4 linked regions of the Caenorhabditis elegans genome follow. The protein of the gene in region 2 purifies or fractionates together with the protein of the main gene of each other region. This does not show direct contact. Each region holds a gene or a part of one and is shown on either strand. Other genes may lie near its edges. The genes, in order: fkb-1, cyn-3, ubc-12 and unc-60.

Region 1 (3,293 bases), on a different chromosome or scaffold from region 2:
GTCAGTTTTATTATTCATACTTTTATACATCAAAACTGAAGAAGAAAGCAGTGAGAGAAAGGAAATACAAGGCTCACAAATACTCTCACAGGAGGCTCTCAAGGAATACTCAATTTACTCGTGTGTTGAGAGAAGACAACGAAGAGCAAGAATCGACCTCAATTTATAACTATTGTTAGGATGGAGCATGAACAAAAAAAAAGAGAAAAGAAGCATTCGGATCGTTGGTGCAATAATTCATGGATGCCAGTTTTAATTGGGTTTCTACTAATAGAATTCCAATTTTTTGTTTATTGTTCGACATTTTCAAAAATGCATTTCCTTTTTCGATTCGTGCTTTTTATTTACAGAGGAACCACATACTTGAATTCTAATATTTACGAAACTGTTGATTCCAGATTTTCAGATTAAAATAATCATTCTTAAAAACTAAGAAAGCAAGGCATTACTAGGTAAGAAGAGAAAAAGGTGTATGGAAATTGATAAATGTCTCGCACACCCTATCATTTTCGCTGACAGAGTGCAATACAAGGTGATAAAGAGAAGCGAGACGCGGTTGTGATCAATGGCCGCAGACGGTCCAAATATATAGAATGGGCATGTTTATAAAGACAAAAAAAAAAACTGCAAAAAAAAATTATACTCTGAGAACATGAATAAGTTACAAAAGGCACGTTTTCTAAATATCCGTAGTTCGTTTACAATTCTTCTCCGTCTCTGTCAATCTTCATGAGCTCAACGTCGAACTTGAGGACAGAGTTGCCTGGAATCTTTGGTGGGGCTCCACGTTCTCCGTATCCAAGGTGTGGTGGAATTGTGAGAATACGACGCTCTCCGACGCACATGTTAAGAAGTCCTTGATCCCATCCCTTGATCACCTATAATTTCAATTTTAATTATTGATATTGGTTTTTTCTTTAAAAACTAACATTTCCTTGTCCAAGAGTGAAAGTGAATTCTTCATTGCGAGTGCGGCTGGAATCAAATTCAGTTCCATCGAGAAGGGTTCCGGTGTAGTGCATGTGCAATTGATCACCCTTTCTGTAAATTTAACATTTTTATTTTAATTAAAAAGAGTAAGCTTACCTGGATTTCTGAACGCAGTTCTCGGCACGCTTCTTGACTCCAATTTGCAATTTATCGATTTTCTGCTCATCGGCAGCATATGCGATCGCCAATAGGCACAAAAGTCCAACGATAACAGCGGTTTTCATGATCCTACAACAATACAATTGATTTTTAGAAGCACAATACAACGAAAAATTATTGAAAAAATACGTTATGAATAGAAAAATGGACAGAGAAATCAGTGCAAAAGAGCAATCGAAGGTGTGCAAACAAAAGTCAAGCAAACGTGGCGTTGTGACGCAGAGAAAACGAGTAATGGGTCAGCAAAAGTTGTTGGCGCAACTTTTGTCGGATTTTTAACTCATAGTTCATAGTTTTTGAGTTTTCCCGAGTTTTAAACAGATTTTTACCGTTTTCTTTACAAATTTTACAAAATAATTCAGTTTTTCTATTATAAATAATTAATTTCAGACAAAATGAGTGCCAAATCTCTCGCAAAGGCTGCCTCAAAGCCTCGGCATCAATCCACTCCGTTCCCAAAAACGGAACAGATTGGTTTTCAACTGAAACATTCAAAAATCCAGTAAAAACGAGGAAATTTAGTGCACATGGGATAGATGTGATCATCGCGGGTTCTATACGATTTTAGTTTCTTCTGTGAATCTCCTCTCTACCTAATGAGTCCTGACAGAATACCGGCAGTATTCTGGGGTCTCATTAGGTTTTAGTTTCTTCTGTGAATCTCCACTCTAACTAATGAGTCCTGACAGAATACCGGCAGTATTCTGGGGTCTCAGTAGGTTTTAGTTTCTTCTGTGAATCTCCTCTCTACCTAATGAGTCCTGACAGAATACCGGCAGTATTCTGGGGTCTCATTAGGTTTTAGTTTCTTCTGTGAATCTCCACTCTACCTAATGAGTCCTGACAGAATACCGGCAGTATTCTGGGGTCTCATTAGGTTTTAGTTTCATTTCCAACTCTCCACTAAACCTAATGAGTCCTGACAGAATACCGGCAGTATTCTGGGGTCTCAGTAGGTTTTAGTTTCTTCTGCGAATCTCCTCTCTACCTAATGAGTCCTGACAGAATACCGGCAGTATTCTGGGGTCTCATTAGGTTTTAGTTTCTTCTGTGAGTCTCATCTCTACCTAATGAGTCCTGACAGAATACCGGCAGTATTCTGGGGTCTCATTAGGTTTTAGTTTCATCTGTGAATCTCCACTCTAACTAATGAGTCCTGACAGAATACCGGCAGTATTCTGGGGTCTCATTAGGTTTTAGTTTCTTCTGTGAATCTCCTCTCTACCTAATGAGTCCTGACAGAATACCGGCAGTATTCTGGGGTCTCATTAGGTTTTAGTTTCTTCTGTGAGTCTCCTCTCTACCTAATGAGTCCTGGCAGAATACCGGCAGTATTCTGGGGTCTCATTAGGTTTTAGTTTCTTCTGTGAGTCTCCTCTTTACCTAATGAGTCCTGACAGAATACCGGCAGTATTCTGGGGTCTCATTAGGTTTTAGTTTCTTCTGTGAATCTCCTCTCTACCTAATGAGTCCTGACAGAATACCGGCAGTATTCTGGGGTCTCATTAGGTTTTAGTTTCTTCTGTGAATCTCCACTCTAACTAATGAGTCCTGACAGAATACCGGCAGTATTCTGGGGTCTCAGTAGGTTTTAGTTTCTTCTGTGAATCTCCTCTCTACCTAATGAGTCCTGACAGAATACCGGCAGTATTCTGGGGTCTCATTAGGTTTTAGTTTCATTTCCAACTCTCCACTCTACCTAATGAGTCCTGACAGAATACCGGCAGTATTCTGGGGTCTCAGTAGGTTTTAGTTTCTTCTGTGAATCTCCTCTCTACCTGATGAGTCCTGACAGAATATCGGCAGTATTCTGGGGTCTCATTAGGTTTTAGTTTCTTCTGTGAGTCTCCTCTCTACCTAATGAGTCCTGACAGAATACCGGCAGTATTCTGGGGTCTCATTAGGTTTTAGTTTCTTCTGTGAATCTCCACTCTACCTAATGAGTCCTGACAGAATACCGGCAGTATTCTGGGGTCTCATTAGGTTTTAGTTTCATTTCCAACTCTCCACTAAACCTAATGAGTCCTGACAGAATACCGGCAGTATTCTGGGGTCTCAGTAGGTTTTAGTTTCTTCTGTGAATCTCCTCTCTACCTAATGAGTCCTGACAGAATACCGGCAGTATTCTGGGGTCTCATTAGGTT
Region 2 (3,912 bases):
TGACAAAATCAACAAATTAGGCGACGAAAGAGAGAAGAAATGAGCCGTTCGCTTCTAGAATTTTCCGACGTAAACAACAAAGTCCGCAAAAGTGTCTGCGTACCCGACACCCAATCATACGACATGCGCCATATCTGACGACACTTTCGCTGTGTTTCCCGCCTTTTGTCAACACTTTCACCGTGCGCCTGTGTTTTCAAATGATCGTACACAAAACAACAGAACGGCGCCGAAATTGATAACAATTTTTGTAGGCAATAAAAGATTACATTGAAAAACCGGTCATTGATATCAGTTCGATCATCACCACGGTCTTCACGAAAAGAAGGAGAAATATCGAGATGATTTAACATTGAGAAACATTGAGAACATTTTAAATTGCTAAATAGATCACAAATTAATCCAACAGTTTTTCATTTTGTTGAATGCTTTCGAGATCGATTGAGCTAAATATGAAGCTCTGCATGTGACGGGTATCTGCGAAGCGGTTCGTCAAGATTAGCTTTGCTTATCCGCTAAAAAATAATCTTTTCGTACAAGGACAAAATAAAATCTGCACAAAATACATCGTGATGTGCTAAAAATGGTTAATGTGAAAGTCCTAGAAATAGACCAATAAACTTTATAAATTTTGACTGGTCTCGAAGCCATTTAGTGTACTGTAGGTGAGAGCATTGCTCAGCTTAAATTGTTTGTTTCAAATTCTTCTTCATTGTTCAAATTAAATTTATCACAAGATAAAATGTCTGGAAAAGACAATAAAGGATCAATTCGTTTTGAGATTCAAAATTTTTCTGGCTTGGCGAAGGCGACGGAGCACAAACCAGTGCAAATTGGACACGTAGAATGGTTAGTGAATTTTAATGAAACAAAAAATGTTCTAAATTATTTAAAATATTATCTTTTAAGGATTCTTGGAGCATTCACAAGCACTTCCGACGCTACGAACAATGCTAAACATCTCGGAATTCACCTGAAATGCAACGAGGAACTGCGCAGCAACTTGTGGTCCTGCGATGCGTCAATTCGTTTTTCACTTCTGAGACTCAATTCAAACGAGGATGATGACGCGTTTTCGATGGAGTTTCAGCAAAAGTTCGACGACTTGAACAAGATTGTGGTGGTCAACAATTTTAAAAATTGGGAGGAAGCCATCTGCTACGATAATCGATTTGTGCTCGATAAGCATGCCGTTCTTGAAGTCCAAATTACTGTCAACAAGATTGCCGGAATTCATGAGAGGATTATCGAGACTTTCGATCAACCCAAGGAACATCTTACCGATGTTGTGCTGGTGCTTGAAGGAAAACATGTCCATGTTGGCAAGCAAGTGCTCGCAACGAGCTCGCAATTCTTCCAAAAAATGTTCTATTCGAATTTCGCCGAAAAGACACAGGCTGAGATCAAAATCGATGATGTGACCCACTCTGAGTTTATCGATTTGCTCAATGTGATCTACCCCACTCACATGCTCATTAATAGTAAGTTCTTTTTTTTATTTGAGGCTTGGAATTATTAACGGATTTTCAGGTTCCAACGTGTCTCACTTGCTCAAGCTGAGCGATAGATTCGCGGTGCCAAGAGTTCTGGAAAAGGCTGAAACGTTTTTGATTTTGGACCAAAAGACCCACTTGATCGACAAGCTGAAGTTCGCCGAAGTCTACAGACTCTCAAGGCTTCAAAATGCATGCCTTTCGCAATTGGAGACCAGCGAAGATGTTACTGCGTTGAAGCATCACGAAAATTATAAATCTCTCGATCATATAACCTACAATGCGTTGCTTCAGAAGCTCATTGATCTTTTGGAAGATTAGCTCCAAGCTTTGTTGAATTTGTTGTTGATAAATTCTGTTGTTGATTTCAGTTTTCAAAACTGCAGATTATTTTTTGTTAAGGAGAAGGTAAAAATACCGCGAAGAACTGTTAATTTTTGATTGGTTAAAAAACTCAAATTTAAACTACCACCAAAAAGAAGAATGTAAGCACGCTCTGCTGATGAAAGAAAACCTTATTCAAACTTCGCGGTCTCACAAATTATCAACGGAGCGAACATTCTGACCCCGCCCACAAATCGAAATTTCTCTGCCGCTCTCCATTTCGGTCCCATTTTTTGAATTTTCATGCGAATTCACTGTTTTTTATTCAGATTTTTTATCGATTTTCGTTTAAATTATGTAATTTTTATGATTTTTCAGTAATTTCCCTATTCTTGCCTCAACAATGAGCCGCTCAAAGGTCTTTTTCGACATCACCATCGGTGGTAAGGCTTCCGGACGTATCGTCATGGAGGTTTGTGAAATTTTGGCTATTTTCATCTTCAATAAATAAATTTTTTACAGCTTTACGATGACGTTGTCCCAAAGACCGCCGGTAATTTCCGCGCTCTCTGCACCGGAGAAAATGGAATCGGAAAGTCTGGAAAGCCACTCCACTTCAAGGGATCCAAGTTTCATCGCATCATCCCGAACTTCATGATCCAGGGAGGAGACTTCACCCGCGGAAACGGAACTGGAGGAGAATCCATCTACGGAGAGAAGTTCCCAGACGAGAACTTCAAGGAGAAGCACACCGGACCAGGAGTCCTCTCCATGGTAAGCAAATCGTCAGCTGAATCTGTTTGAAGTTCGAGAAAATGTTTTTTTCTGCTCAATTTGGGAAAAATATCACTGTTTGTTCTCCGAAAAGAGGGAAAACTGAAGATTTCTAAATGTTGCTTTTCCGGAAATTGTCGTATCTGTGAGAGACGCAGACATATCTCACAGCACGTTGTGTGTAGGATGGAGTGCTGAGCCGTTGTTAGGAGAAATTGAATGATTTATGAGAAAGAGCAGCTGAATGTATCAGTCTCAAAAAATATCAGAATTTTTGTCTGTCTCGAAAGTAATATTTTCAACATTTCAGGCTAATGCTGGACCAAACACCAACGGATCTCAATTCTTCCTCTGCACCGTCAAGACCGAGTGGCTCGACGGAAAGCACGTCGTTTTCGGACGTGTCGTCGAAGGATTGGACGTCGTGAAGGCTGTCGAATCCAACGGATCCCAATCCGGAAAGCCAGTCAAGGACTGCATGATCGCTGACTGTGGACAACTCAAGGCATAAATTAATTGCACCCGAAATCTCCTTCATCTCTTGATTATATATTTTCAGTATTCAACTAATCCATATTTTTCTCATAAACCTCAGTTATCCCCGATTGTTCCTTTGAAGAAACCCAGGTCTCATTGAGAAAAAAAAAAGAAATCAGCTCAGACGTTGCGCATATTTCCATCTTCTGGCGAAAGGCGCGACGTTGGGTCCCGCCTTTTCAGGCGACATCACAATCCGATCGCCTCGGCCACTGCACAAGTCATCGATCACCGCTGAGGAGTTGAACCCGCGTCTGTTGTTTGAAGACGGCGCGCTTTACCACTGAACCACTCGGTCGCGAATAGTAGTGCGCCGTTGTGTACCTATAAAAGTGTGCGTAGGCAAGCAGAGAGGAATAATGAAGCGGAGAGTTTCAGAACCGGATTTCAGCTTTATCTAATACTTGAATCTACATGCAACATCCATTCAGATTTTAATTCAATCTTTAATGAATCGCATCTACTATTTATTGTCGCTTTTAATTTTTCTAAACACTATAAACTCTCTTTATCAATGGGGTAATTTTTAAAAGATTAAATTTTTTTGAATTGACATTAAAAATTTCTCAGAAAATCGGATTTTAAAATGTGAAAACGCCAACTGCTCTCTTCAAAAAACCGGCGAAGAATTTAAACCTGCAGTTTGTGAGAAAGGTCGTCTTTTTATTTGAATAAACTTTTGAAATCGCAAGAAAAATTCAGATTCTAACGGAAAAATCGCATGTGATATAGAATGTGATAAAGCTGATCGTGACAGTGTTATCTCAAAAAGGCCCACCGATTA
Region 3 (3,597 bases), on a different chromosome or scaffold from region 2:
CTGGTGCTTCTTCTGCTTTTCGCTTCGACATTTTCAGCAACAGGTTAGTAGTCGAGTAGGCTCTTGAACGGAGCAGCTGGGGAAGAAGAAAGTTGAATCAGGTCGGCGGATGGAAGGATGACAAATAGAGAAACTTCCCCGAATGTTGAACAGATTAGTTAGAGAATAGTTGAAATTGAATTAAATAATTAAATCGATAGTTTCATTGGATTGTTATTAATAATGAGATCAGTGAAGAGCAAAAAAGTAACAAAAACCCGATATGAAGATCAACTTATTTGTTGGCGAGGTTGACGCGGAGTGGTCTTCCATTGAACTCGGCTCCATTCATCTGCTCGACGGCTCTCTGTGCGGATCCTTCCTCGGCGAACTCGATGAAGGCGAATCCACGTGGACGTCCGGTTTCGCGATCACAGACGATTCTGAAAGAGATATTGCGTTAGAAATCATGAAGCTCGGGCTGGCTGGGAGAGTTACCTGACGTTGTTGATTTGTCCGATGCTGCTGAAGAAGTTTCCAAGCTCCTCCTCGGTGGTCTGGAATGGAGCGTTTCCAACTAAAAAAAAGGAAAATTTTAATTGATTTAAATATTTCGCAACCAAATTTGAATCTAAACACTTAAAATTGCCTTTTCAAATGAAAATATTAGGGAAAACTTCGCGAATTCGATTTTTCCGAAAAATCCCAAAATTTCAGGACAATATCGAGTTTTATTGGCTATTTTAACCAGTTTCCGATTGTTTAATACTTAAAATAAATTATTAAAAAACTAACCGTAAACAGAGAAGATTCCAGACATGACGATTTTAGGCCGTAGCAGAAAATTTATGACGGTTTAATTTTTCCGCTCACCCTGCCTTGGAGAAAACGTGCGGCAGTTGCGTAAAAACCGTGCCAGGGTTGCGTTTTGGCCCCGCCCCTCGAATAGCATCGATTTCGACAGATTTTTTCCATTTCAAGCTGAAAATATGAGGAATTAGTCCAAAATAAGACCGCGAAGAGTGTTGAAACTTGAATTTTCAGTTGTAAGCTCACATTGGGCTGCGCATAGCCCAGGATTCAAAACTTGCTCGAACCGAAGCCGTTCCTTCAAGCTTCTAGCCTCAACGCTTGCCATCAGATTGACCCCAAATGAAGATTCGAAATAAAAAAATAGAGCATATATATTTATGATAACGATTTCATGGGTTTATTATTATTGAGATCATTAAAGATCAAACAAGTAACAAAGTACCGATATGAAAATTAGTTGTTTCTGTTTTGAGCCAAGTTGACGCGTAGAGCTCTTCCGTTGAAATCGACTCCGTTGAATTGGTCGACGGCTCTCTGGGCAGCGGCCTCCTCGGTGAACTCGACGAAGGCGAATCCACGTGGACGTCCGGTCTCGCGGTCGCAAACGATTCTGAAAATAGAGATTCATATTGAGAGTTAACGGGTCGTCGTTCAGGAGGTTTCGGGAAGAGGAGATTTCGGGGAGAGAAGCTTACCTGACGTTGCTGACGTTTCCAGCCTGGCTGAAGTAGTTGCCAAGGTCGTCCTCGGTAGTTTGGAATGGAGCGTTTCCGACTGAAAAATGCATTAAAATTATTAAAAACTCAAATTATCTCAGCCTAATCAAATACAATAAATAGAAAAACGCCTGGAGAAAAATAAAAATTTTAGGCCAGACTTTAAATTCGGCTTTTCTCGATTAAAATCTGCTTTTAAAGCTGAATATTCCAGTTTTCTACTTGAATAATTTACAATTAACAAAACTAACCGTAAACAGAGAATCCAGACATGACGATTTTAGGCCGGAGCGTAAATATGTGTGATTCGAATCGTTTTCGCTTGCCTCCTCCGACTCGTGGGAAACCGTGCGGCACTTGCGGTAAAAGTGTGCCAGCCTTGCGTTCGCGCTCCGCCCCCTTTAGTCATTTCAGCGTTAGCAAACGCTGCGTCTTTTATTCCTCATTCTCTGTCATTTTTCATAGCAATTGTTTCATTTTCTCACGTAATTTGTCGTTTTTTCGCTGAATTACAAGATTTTCATCGATTTTTGACCCTTTTACACTGTAATTTTGCCAAAAAAACGATTATTTTCTCTATGTTTCCGTATGCGCCGCCTATATCGCTGAAAATTATCGTATTTCTTAATTTTTCGCTTTCAGAATGTTCAATCTTCAAAAACGAATCAACGGCAACAACGAGGACGGTCGGTATCTTGAAACCCGCATCGCCGTCCGTGACAAGCTCCTAGCTCAGGGTATGTGGCTGCTTTATAAAAAATTTTGATTTTACAACATTTTCAGAACTCCAACAGCTGGAGACTGCTCTTCGCGATCAGAAGCAAAAGCTGTGGCATCTCGAGGTCCCATCAACATCGTGTCTTCATGAGTTGGAACTCACCGTGACACCTCAAGAAGGAATCTATCGTGGAGGCAAATTCCGATTCAAGATCACCGTCCCGCCAGAGTACAACAACGTGCCGCCCGTTGTTAAGTGCCTGACAAAGGTTTGGCATCCAAATATCAACGAGGACGGATCGATTTGTCTATCGATTTTGCGTCAAAACTCGTTGGATCAATACGGATGGCGTCCAACGCGTAACCTCACCGACGTCGTCCACGGACTCGTCTCACTGTTCAACGATCTTATGGACTTCAACGACGCGCTGAACATTCAAGCCGCCCAGATGTGGAGTCAGAATCGCGAATCGTTCAATCATCGTGTTCGGGAATACATTTCTAGATATTGCTAAGGACCAACGGATCGGATTACAAATGGCCTGTGAATTGACCCCCCCTATGAAATTGATTTTGATTCTAACTTTTCCCCCACCTCTCAGACTTTTTCTAACTGTACTTTTTGAAAGAAATAAAATTTATTCTTGAGAAATTTGAGAACTTAAGAAGAGAAGAGAAAATCGAATAAATTAAACAAGTTAAAGAGATTTGGTGGATAAAATAGAACAGAGTCTGAAGGAATTAAATTAGATTGGCTTGATCTTGAAGTGAAGGCCAATGAGCGAGAAGACGAGGCACTTGAGATCCTGAACGAGATAGTAGAACGAGCGGAGACCATCCGGATCTTTCGAGTTGTTCACATCGGCTAGAGCTCCGATTTTGCCGGTCGTAAACGAGATGTGCTCGTTTTTGTACAGAATTTCCAGCTCCTGGCGTCCAATCTTGTCTGGTTCTGGCCAATTGTCATCGTCCTCCTGCATGATTTCCGAGTCTTCGATGATACGCTTGAGCTCGCTGAGCACCGATTCCGACACTGTCGCCTCTTTGCGGATCATCGTGTCATTCTTGTAGTTGGAGTTGTTCGCGTAGCGAAGCGATCCGTTTGGACGGAATTCGAATTCGAGAAATTCGTGACCGAATTTTCCCTGAAAATTGTTTCGTAAACTAATTTAAATTGGCGAAAATTGTCATTTTTCCAAGATTTTCCAAGACCTACCTTGTGTCCAACGTAGTAACGAACGTAAAAGTCCGCTGCCTTCTCTTCTTCGCCGCTCATTCTGAAAATAAATAGGAATTGAGAAAATCCAAACATCCATTAAATAAAACCGGGTGAAAATTAGAATTTCAAGGTAAAAAAACCTGATTTTTCAGT
Region 4 (7,489 bases), about 14 Mb from region 2:
TGAACAATTCTCACAGTCGTTCGTTTTTTCATAATTTTGTAGCTAATCATCAGTTTTCCAAATATTTCGGCTGCTTATTGGGAGACCATTTAAAGGGGAAGTAGAGTTTGTGGCTATTTTAATTAAATCGACTAAAACTGGTCCATTATCCAAAAATGTTTATGGCCGGTCAAAATTTCGAAAAAAAGAGCCAAATTTTGCTAAAATCTGAATTTTCTCAAACTTTTCTTTGTCACAGCCGCTGGATTTTAGTTTTTCGGAAATTATCACCCTTTGATCCTTAATTTGGTAATTTATCTCGCGGAAATTCGTTGATTGAGACAACTTTTAGGCCGATAGGCATACAATTTTTATCATTTTTGGATGCCCATCGGCTCAAAAAGTGTCTCAATCAACGAATTTCCGCGAGATAAATTACCAAAATAAGGATTAAAGGGTGATAATCTCAGAAAAACTAAAATCCAGCGGCTGTGACAAAGAAAAGTGTGCGAAATTTCAGATTTTAGCAATAGTTGGCCATTTTTTCGAATTTTGGCCGGCCATGAAAAATTTTTGGAAATTTTTTGTGAAGTCTCATTATGAAATTCGGTGATTTTGGACCAGTTTTTGTCTATTTAAGCAAAATACTACAAACTCTACTCCCCTTTTAAATTAAATCGTCCGAGTTTTCTTGGACTATTTAATATTTTTGCATACGAAAAACACTGTCTTGAAATACACTGTCAAATTATTATACTGAGCGACTAGAAAAGATTCTAAAAATAATTCTCAAGATGACTAATTCATTTTTTTATTTCTGAAATGAGCGTGTCTTATTGTTTCGCAATTGCTAATGACTTTGACTCCTCCCACGTCGTTGGCGTTTTTGTTCGTTCCTCGATCAATTGGTGGCTCCCTCACAGTCAATTTGCCCTTTCTCTACGCCCACGCAAACCATCTGAACACTTCTATGCTAATAATGCTCATTCCGACTTGAATTCAAGGAAAATGATATGTTTTTTTTCTCACTGAACTTTCACCCGATGTTGAAATAACCCGAAAGTAGAGAATATGTCGGGGGGGGGGGGGGGGGTAGTAGATGGGCGGTGTAGTTGTCTGCGCGTACGCTAAGTGGAGATTATACGCTTCGACTGTCTCGTAGCACCGAGTTCCTTTCGCTAATTACTCTCATCAACTATTGTTTCCACTGTGTGTGTGTCCTCCTCCGGGTATGTCCTTTTCGTTTGCCCCTTGTTCAAAGCCGAAATCGATGTTGTTTTCAATATTTTTAACGTCTGGAAACAATTCAAAAATTGTTCCAAACCCTCTCCGTCATTCTCGTACCGCCATGCGCTGACTCATACACCGTCGTCGTCCTCCTCGTTGTTGTGTACAACACAAAAACGGGTGGTTTTCTAATCTTTCTCCTTCCCAGTTGATACCATAGTGTATATAACGTACTCCTCGATGCTGAATGATGATTCATACGATCAATAGCAGTGCATTCCTACTTTTTTCTAATTTTGTCAGTACTTTCTAGAAACTGAAGCCCGGGAGAAAGTGCAAACGGATTCACCACTAGGTAGTCCGTATCTGTTTTTTTTTGGTATTTCGGGCAGAGCAAGTAAGGTCGGGGGACAATGGTGTGTGTGTTGCACATGGCGAATGTTTGCTCGGTTCTCGCTATTTTCTCTCTTCACTCTCTTCTCTACCAGCTCTTCAGATCGTTCACTCTCTCTCTCCGGGAGGGGACGGAAAAGATGACCATTCGGGCTGGGTGCTGCTGCTGCTGTTGCTGCCCGTTTCATTTTCTCTCCGCTCCCTCTCCTCTACTTGTCACTATCTCGCTCTATCTCTTCGTCTCTTCATTTTCCTCGTGTCCCTCGTCCTCGTCTATCTAAGCGGACGCGCTCGCACAGGCAAGCACTCTGACTGGCGGTTGTGTTGTTGGGGCTGGGGGTTAGGCCGAAGGGACGGCCCCGTCTCTTTTTTTTTGCGTCTTTCTCATCCTGCTTCTGTGCCAATCACAATGGACTTTCTTGGCTCTTGTTCTCTCTCTCTCTCTGTTTCCATCACTTTACCAATTTACCTCACACTTATGACCCTTATGACTCTTATCTGGGTTACACTTTTTCTTTGTGTTGAGCTTCTTCACTATCGTTTTTCCCTTCTCGTGATTCGATTATTGATTGATTAAAATCATTTTTTCTTGCAGGAAACTCAACTTGATTCTATTTCCCCACCACAAACCAACAACAACATCTCAAAATGGTGAGTTTGAGATTTTAATTCGCTTCAATATTTTTAAATTGAAAGAAATTTGGAATGTTATGTTTGGCGTGTTTTTTTTTCATTGAATTTCCAAAATTTCACACTAAAATGGAATGGTTTTCTCTTCTTTTTGCCTAACCTAACCTAACCTATGTGTGCCTGTTTTCTAGAGTTCCGGTGTCATGGTCGACCCAGATGTGCAGACATCTTTCCAAAAGCTCTCCGAGGGACGCAAGGAGTACCGCTACATCATTTTCAAGATCGACGTGAGTTTTTAAAAAATAAAATCTGAATCAGATCAATTTAAAAAAATTTCGTGCCACTTTTTGTTTTTTTTGTTGAAAAATTTGAAAAATCCTCAAATTAATTGTTTTAGATGAACATTATTGATTTCCCTATTAAATTGCAACATTTTCCAGGAGAACAAGGTGATCGTGGAAGCCGCGGTGACTCAGGATCAGCTCGGCATCACTGGAGACGACTATGATGACTCTTCCAAGGCCGCTTTCGACAAATTCGTCGAGGACGTGAAGTCTCGAACCGATAATCTGACCGATTGCCGCTACGCCGTTTTCGACTTCAAGTTCACGTGCAGTCGTGTTGGAGCCGGCACGAGCAAGATGGACAAGATCATCTTCCTCCAGATGTAAGCGCTTGATCCTATTGGTGAATTATTGTACCATCTAATTTTTTTTCCAGCTGCCCAGATGGTGCTTCTATCAAGAAAAAGATGGTGTACGCTTCGTCCGCCGCCGCCATCAAGACTTCTCTCGGAACCGGCAAAATCCTTCAGTTCCAGGTGAGAAATCTCGATAATTTTTACAATTAGAAAAAAAAAATCAAATTATTAAAATTTCAGGTGTCTGACGAGAGCGAGATGAGCCACAAGGAACTCCTCAACAAGTTGGGCGAGAAATACGGAGATCACTAGATACACGGGTCTCTTCCGAAGTCGTCGTCGCCGTCACATCCTCGATTATTCTCGTCTCTGTCTGTCGCATTTTCTCCATTGCTTGATGATTTCTGATCGTTTTCACGTGTGCTCTTTGAATGTGCTAGTGCGTTGTTGTGGTGCTTTTTTCTTACCAACCTCACTACTTGTTCATTTTTTTTGGTGTCCTCAAAGAATCATCCGTTGAAAACATGACTGCGGCGATGTGTTTCGATGATGTTTCTTAAGCGTCTTCTTCACATTTTCACCTCTTAACATTGCTAATTTATCCTCTATTTTTATCTGTTTTTTTCCTGATTGACGATTGTTTTTTTCCTGGGGGCAAGTGATTGTGTGTGCCCACTAATTTAATACAATGTGCCGGGTAACCTTCCGTACTATGAAGAAGTTGAGACATCCCCTCAGATTCTCAGTATCTTTATTGTTTAGTGAAATGCGTGGTAAATCCCTTCTCATTTACGATTATATTCTCTCTCTCTTGTAAAGCTTTCTATATTTATATAGTGTACTTTCCCCCACTGGAACTCTCAATCTCCATCTCCTCACCATTCTTTTTTTTTCAAATCTTCTATTGCGTATTCATTTCCCTTCTTACTTTTTTCCCACCCTGCCCGATCCCCTTGAAGAATCACCCACCAAACCGTTCATGTGCTGTGCTTTTTAAGATTATCACAATGAAATCAAGTTTGGAGTTTCTAACAATTGTTTTAACACGCGTGGAAAATTTTGAAAGGAAACAAAAATTGACATAAAAACCAGAAAAATATTACAAACACCTTTGAGTACAGGCTTCCGGAGTCAAAGTTGATCCATCCTGCAAGAACGCCTACGATCTTCTCCACAACAAGCATCAGCACAGCTACATCATCTTCAAGGTGAGTTATTCTGCGAAAAAAAAAATGCGTACTGCACAACACATTTGACGCGCAAAATATCTCGTAGCGAAAACTACAGTAATTCTTTAAATGAGTACTGTAGCTCTTGTGTCGATTTACGGGCTCAATTATTGCAATTTTCTTTATAAATGGTTTCCGTGAATCGACACTAGCGCTACAGTAGTCATTTAAAGGATTACTGCAGTTTTCGCTACGAGATATTTGATGTATTTTGCGCGTCAAATATGTTGTGCAGTACGCATTTTCAGAGTTTTCTGTTCCCGTAATAATTAAATAATTTTCTAAATTTGATTTTTTAAAAATTTAAAAAATAAATAAATCGAAAAAAAATAAATCAAAAAATAATCAGATTGACAAAAATGACACCGCCATCGTCGTCGAGAAGGTCGGAGAGAAGAATGCTCCGTACGCCGAGTTCGTTGAGGAGATGAAGAAGCTTGTTGAGGACGGAAAGGAGTGCAGGTAAGCCTAAGCCTGAGACTAGGCCTGAGCCTAAACCTGAGCATAAGCCTAAGCCTAAGAATAAGCCTAAGCCTAACACTAAGTCTTAGTCTGAGCCTAAATGTCGCGTGTATTCTACGCGAAAAGTTGTGTTTTTGCGCCAAAATACGGTGCTAGGTCTCGACACGACTAATTTTTACTAGTTAAATGAATGCAGAGAAAAGAAGGTGTGCGTCTTTAAATAGTACTGTAATTTCAAAATTATTGTTTCCATGGAATGTTTTATTATCGAAAAAAATTCACATAAATATTAAGAAACTGTGAAACATTAATGAAAATTTGGCAGCAATGGAATTTTGAAACTACATTACTCTTTAAAGGCACATATGATTTTGAATTTAACAAAAAAGTTTCGTGTCGAGACCAGTTGGTGCAAAAAAACCGCAAAATTTCTTGTCTGGATAATTATCAAACAACAAAACTCGTCGGAAATCTCGATTCAATTCATCCTTTTTTGCAGATATGCTGCCGTCGACGTCGAGGTTACTGTCCAAAGACAGGGAGCCGAGGGAACCAGCACACTCAATAAGGTCATCTTCGTTCAATAGTGAGTTTCAACATTGAAATATTACACATACACGTGGTGCCAGGCTGTCCCATTGCGGTTTGATCTAGAAAAAATGCGCGATTTTTTTCCCAAAGAAAATTTGACGTCAGCACGTTCTTAACCATGAGAAATCAGTTGAGAACTCTGCGTCTCTACTCCGGCTTTTTTTGTAGATCTACGTAGATCAAGCCGGAATGCTCGAAATTGTCCGCATTTTTGCGTTAAAAAAACGGTAACACTATAATTTCGCAGCAACGAATGTTTTAAATTACTGTACTCTTTAAAGGCGCATACCTGTTTGAATTTAACAAAAATTTGTCGTGTCGAGACCAGATAGCGTAAAATTTCGCGTCTGGAAAATCTAGAAAATCGTCCAAACAAAAAACCAAGAAAGTTGATAAAAATGAACGAATTTACTGAAATTCTCGTTGGAAAAGTCGGCCATCAACTAGGAAGCCTCGGCCACCAAAAAGTCGGCCATAAACTAGAAAAATTCGGCCACCAAAAAACCGGCCATCAACTAGGAAACCTCGGCCATCAACTAGAAAACTCGGCCATCAACTAGAAAACCTGGGCCATCAAAAAGTCGGCCATCAACAAGGAAAAGTCGGTCATAAACTAGAGAAACTCGGCCATCAACTAGGAAAACTCGGCCATCAACTAGAAATACTCGACCAGCAACTAGAAAAACTCGGCTATCAACTAGGAAAACTCGGCCACCAAAAAATCGGCCATCAACAAGAAAAAGTGGGCCATCAACTAGAAATCCTCGGCCACCAAAAAGTCGCCCATCAACTAGGAAAACACGGCCATCAACTAGAAAACTCGACCATCAACTAGAAAACCTCGGCCATCAAAAAGTCGGCCATTAACTAGAAAAAGTCGGCCACCAAAAAGTCGGCCACCAACTAAAAAACCTCGGCTATCAACTAGGAAAACTCGGCCACCAAAAAGTCGGCCATCAACTAGAAAAACTCGACCATCAAAATGTCGGCCATCAACTAGAAAACCTCGGTCATCAACTAGAAAACCTCGGCCATCAACTAGGAAACCTCGGCCATCAACTAGAAAAACTCGGCCACCAAAATGTCGGCCATTAACAAGAATCTCTTTAAAAAAATTTCCATGTATTTCCACATTCCACTTCCCAAACTCCTATTTTCAGCTGCCCAGACAACGCCCCAGTCCGCAGACGTATGCTCTACGCCTCCTCGGTCCGTGCTCTCAAGGCGTCCCTCGGACTCGAGTCCCTCTTCCAAGTACAGGCCTCCGAGATGTCGGACCTCGACGAGAAGAGCGTGAAGAGCGACCTGATGTCCAACCAAAGAATCTAAGCCTGTCCAATTGAATCCCAATCACAAATTACAATTTCTTTCTGGTACTACTAGTCTCTCGGACCATCCAAGCCCGTCAAAAATGTGCCTTTAACTTTTTTTTTCTTGTTAAATTATGACTTTTCTTGTCTGTAATTCTGATTTCCCATTTTCTCTGGAATTTTTAAAAAAATATTTTTCTTTTAATAAATAAATCCGTTCCTTCAGAACATGTCAGTTGTTGTTTTCCATGACGTCCAGACGACAAAAAACAATAAAATCAATTACCCATTTTTTCCAGAGCCCCCAAGAGCCCTCAGATGTTATAGAGCACAACACACCCCCCGAGAGCATCTCTTTACTTTTGACCTGATGCCACTCGACTTGTGCTCACCGGCTCTCGGAGCACAAGCAGGAGCACAAGTTATGCTACTTTTCTTCGAATTTTGTTTGTTTGTTTCGAAACTTGAAACGAACAGCACGAAACATTCTTTTCTTTGGATAATTTTTAAAAATCGATTTTTTTTCGAAATCCAACAGAGTTGGCCCACGGGGTTCTGGCCTTCCTCATTGAATTTTTCGCGCTCCATTGACAATCGCCAGCCAAACAACGCCTGGGGAAAGTCGTGTACTCCACACGGACAAATGCATTTAGAAGTAAAATTTCTCACGACGCGACACGCAACGCGCCGTAAATCTACCCCAGATATGGCCGAGCCAAAATGGCCTAGTTCGGCAAATTCTTCCATTTCAATTTATTAGGGAAGCCAGAAATCCGTGAGTTGGCTTAGTTTTGTTCAAAAATCAGTTTTCGTAGTGTTCTGAAAACGGAAAAAAACATCGCGTTCCATTTGTTTCCCGTTGTTTTTAGATTCGTTTTTTTTCGCAAAAAATAATGGGAATCCTTTTCAAATAAATGTTCTCCAGATGCGGTTTTTCTGCATCATTTTTTCTAAGAAGAACACATAAATCTGATGTTTTTTCTGAGTAGATTTCAAGGTTTTTTTTTGCCATTTTGTGGGTTTACTTT

What was found.
Region 1: the proteins of cyn-3 (region 2) and fkb-1 fractionate together in Caenorhabditis elegans (co-fractionation; one large-scale study listed by BioGRID). This does not show direct contact.
Region 3: the proteins of cyn-3 (region 2) and ubc-12 fractionate together in Caenorhabditis elegans (co-fractionation; one large-scale study listed by BioGRID). This does not show direct contact.
Region 4: the proteins of cyn-3 (region 2) and unc-60 fractionate together in Caenorhabditis elegans (co-fractionation; one large-scale study listed by BioGRID). This does not show direct contact.

What each region holds. Positions count from the first base shown.
Region 1 is NC_003282.8:11,034,507-11,037,799, reverse strand, and holds fkb-1 (peptidylprolyl isomerase), read right to left. Parts: upstream 1,219-3,293; 5' UTR 1,215-1,218; coding exon 1,087-1,214; intron 1,042-1,086; coding exon 930-1,041; intron 879-929; coding exon 699-878; 3' UTR 626-698; downstream 1-625.
Region 2 is NC_003283.11:15,187,732-15,191,643, forward strand, and holds cyn-3 (Peptidyl-prolyl cis-trans isomerase 3), read left to right. Parts: upstream 1-2,195; 5' UTR 2,196-2,220; coding exon 2,221-2,289; intron 2,290-2,339; coding exon 2,340-2,591; intron 2,592-2,901; coding exon 2,902-3,102; 3' UTR 3,103-3,195; downstream 3,196-3,912. Other genes in the region: bath-36 (BTB and MATH domain-containing protein 36), read left to right, coding at 743-849, 910-1,481, 1,531-1,814; Y75B12B.11 (DUF7808 domain-containing protein), read left to right, coding at 3,578-3,647, 3,699-3,782, 3,831-3,912. UniProt on the Caenorhabditis elegans protein: Catalyzes the cis-trans isomerization of proline imidic peptide bonds in oligopeptides. Plays a role in protein folding, transport and assembly.
Region 3 is NC_003279.8:11,909,176-11,912,772, forward strand, and holds ubc-12 (NEDD8-conjugating enzyme ubc-12), read left to right. Parts: upstream 1-2,144; 5' UTR 2,145-2,151; coding exon 2,152-2,245; intron 2,246-2,291; coding exon 2,292-2,740; 3' UTR 2,741-2,878; downstream 2,879-3,597. Other genes in the region: exo-3 (exodeoxyribonuclease III), read right to left, coding at 1-31; rbm-3.1 (RRM domain-containing protein), read right to left, coding at 275-422, 478-556, 775-799; rbm-3.2 (RRM domain-containing protein), read right to left, coding at 1,246-1,402, 1,488-1,566, 1,760-1,781; mag-1 (Protein mago nashi homolog), read right to left, coding at 2,972-3,370, 3,442-3,501. UniProt on the Caenorhabditis elegans protein: Accepts the ubiquitin-like protein NEDD8 from the uba-3-ula-1 E1 complex and catalyzes its covalent attachment to other proteins. Plays a role in male tail tip morphogenesis.
Region 4 is NC_003283.11:1,472,892-1,480,380, forward strand, and holds unc-60 (Actin-depolymerizing factor 2), read left to right. Parts: upstream 1-2,194; 5' UTR 2,195-2,247; coding exon 2,248-2,250; intron 2,251-2,420; coding exon of another isoform or gene 2,421-2,516; intron 2,517-2,669; coding exon of another isoform or gene 2,670-2,896; intron 2,897-2,949; coding exon of another isoform or gene 2,950-3,049; intron 3,050-3,109; coding exon of another isoform or gene 3,110-3,181; exon of another isoform or gene 3,182-3,893; intron 3,894-3,990; coding exon 3,991-4,077; intron 4,078-4,447; coding exon 4,448-4,560; intron 4,561-5,059; coding exon 5,060-5,146; intron 5,147-6,311; coding exon 6,312-6,480; 3' UTR 6,481-6,685; downstream 6,686-7,489. Other genes in the region: F53E2.2 (Actin-depolymerizing factor 1, isoforms a/b), read left to right, coding at 2,248-2,250, 2,421-2,516, 2,670-2,896, 2,950-3,049, 3,110-3,181. UniProt on the Caenorhabditis elegans protein: Depolymerizes growing actin filaments in muscle cells; required for the assembly of actin filaments into the functional contractile myofilament lattice of muscle.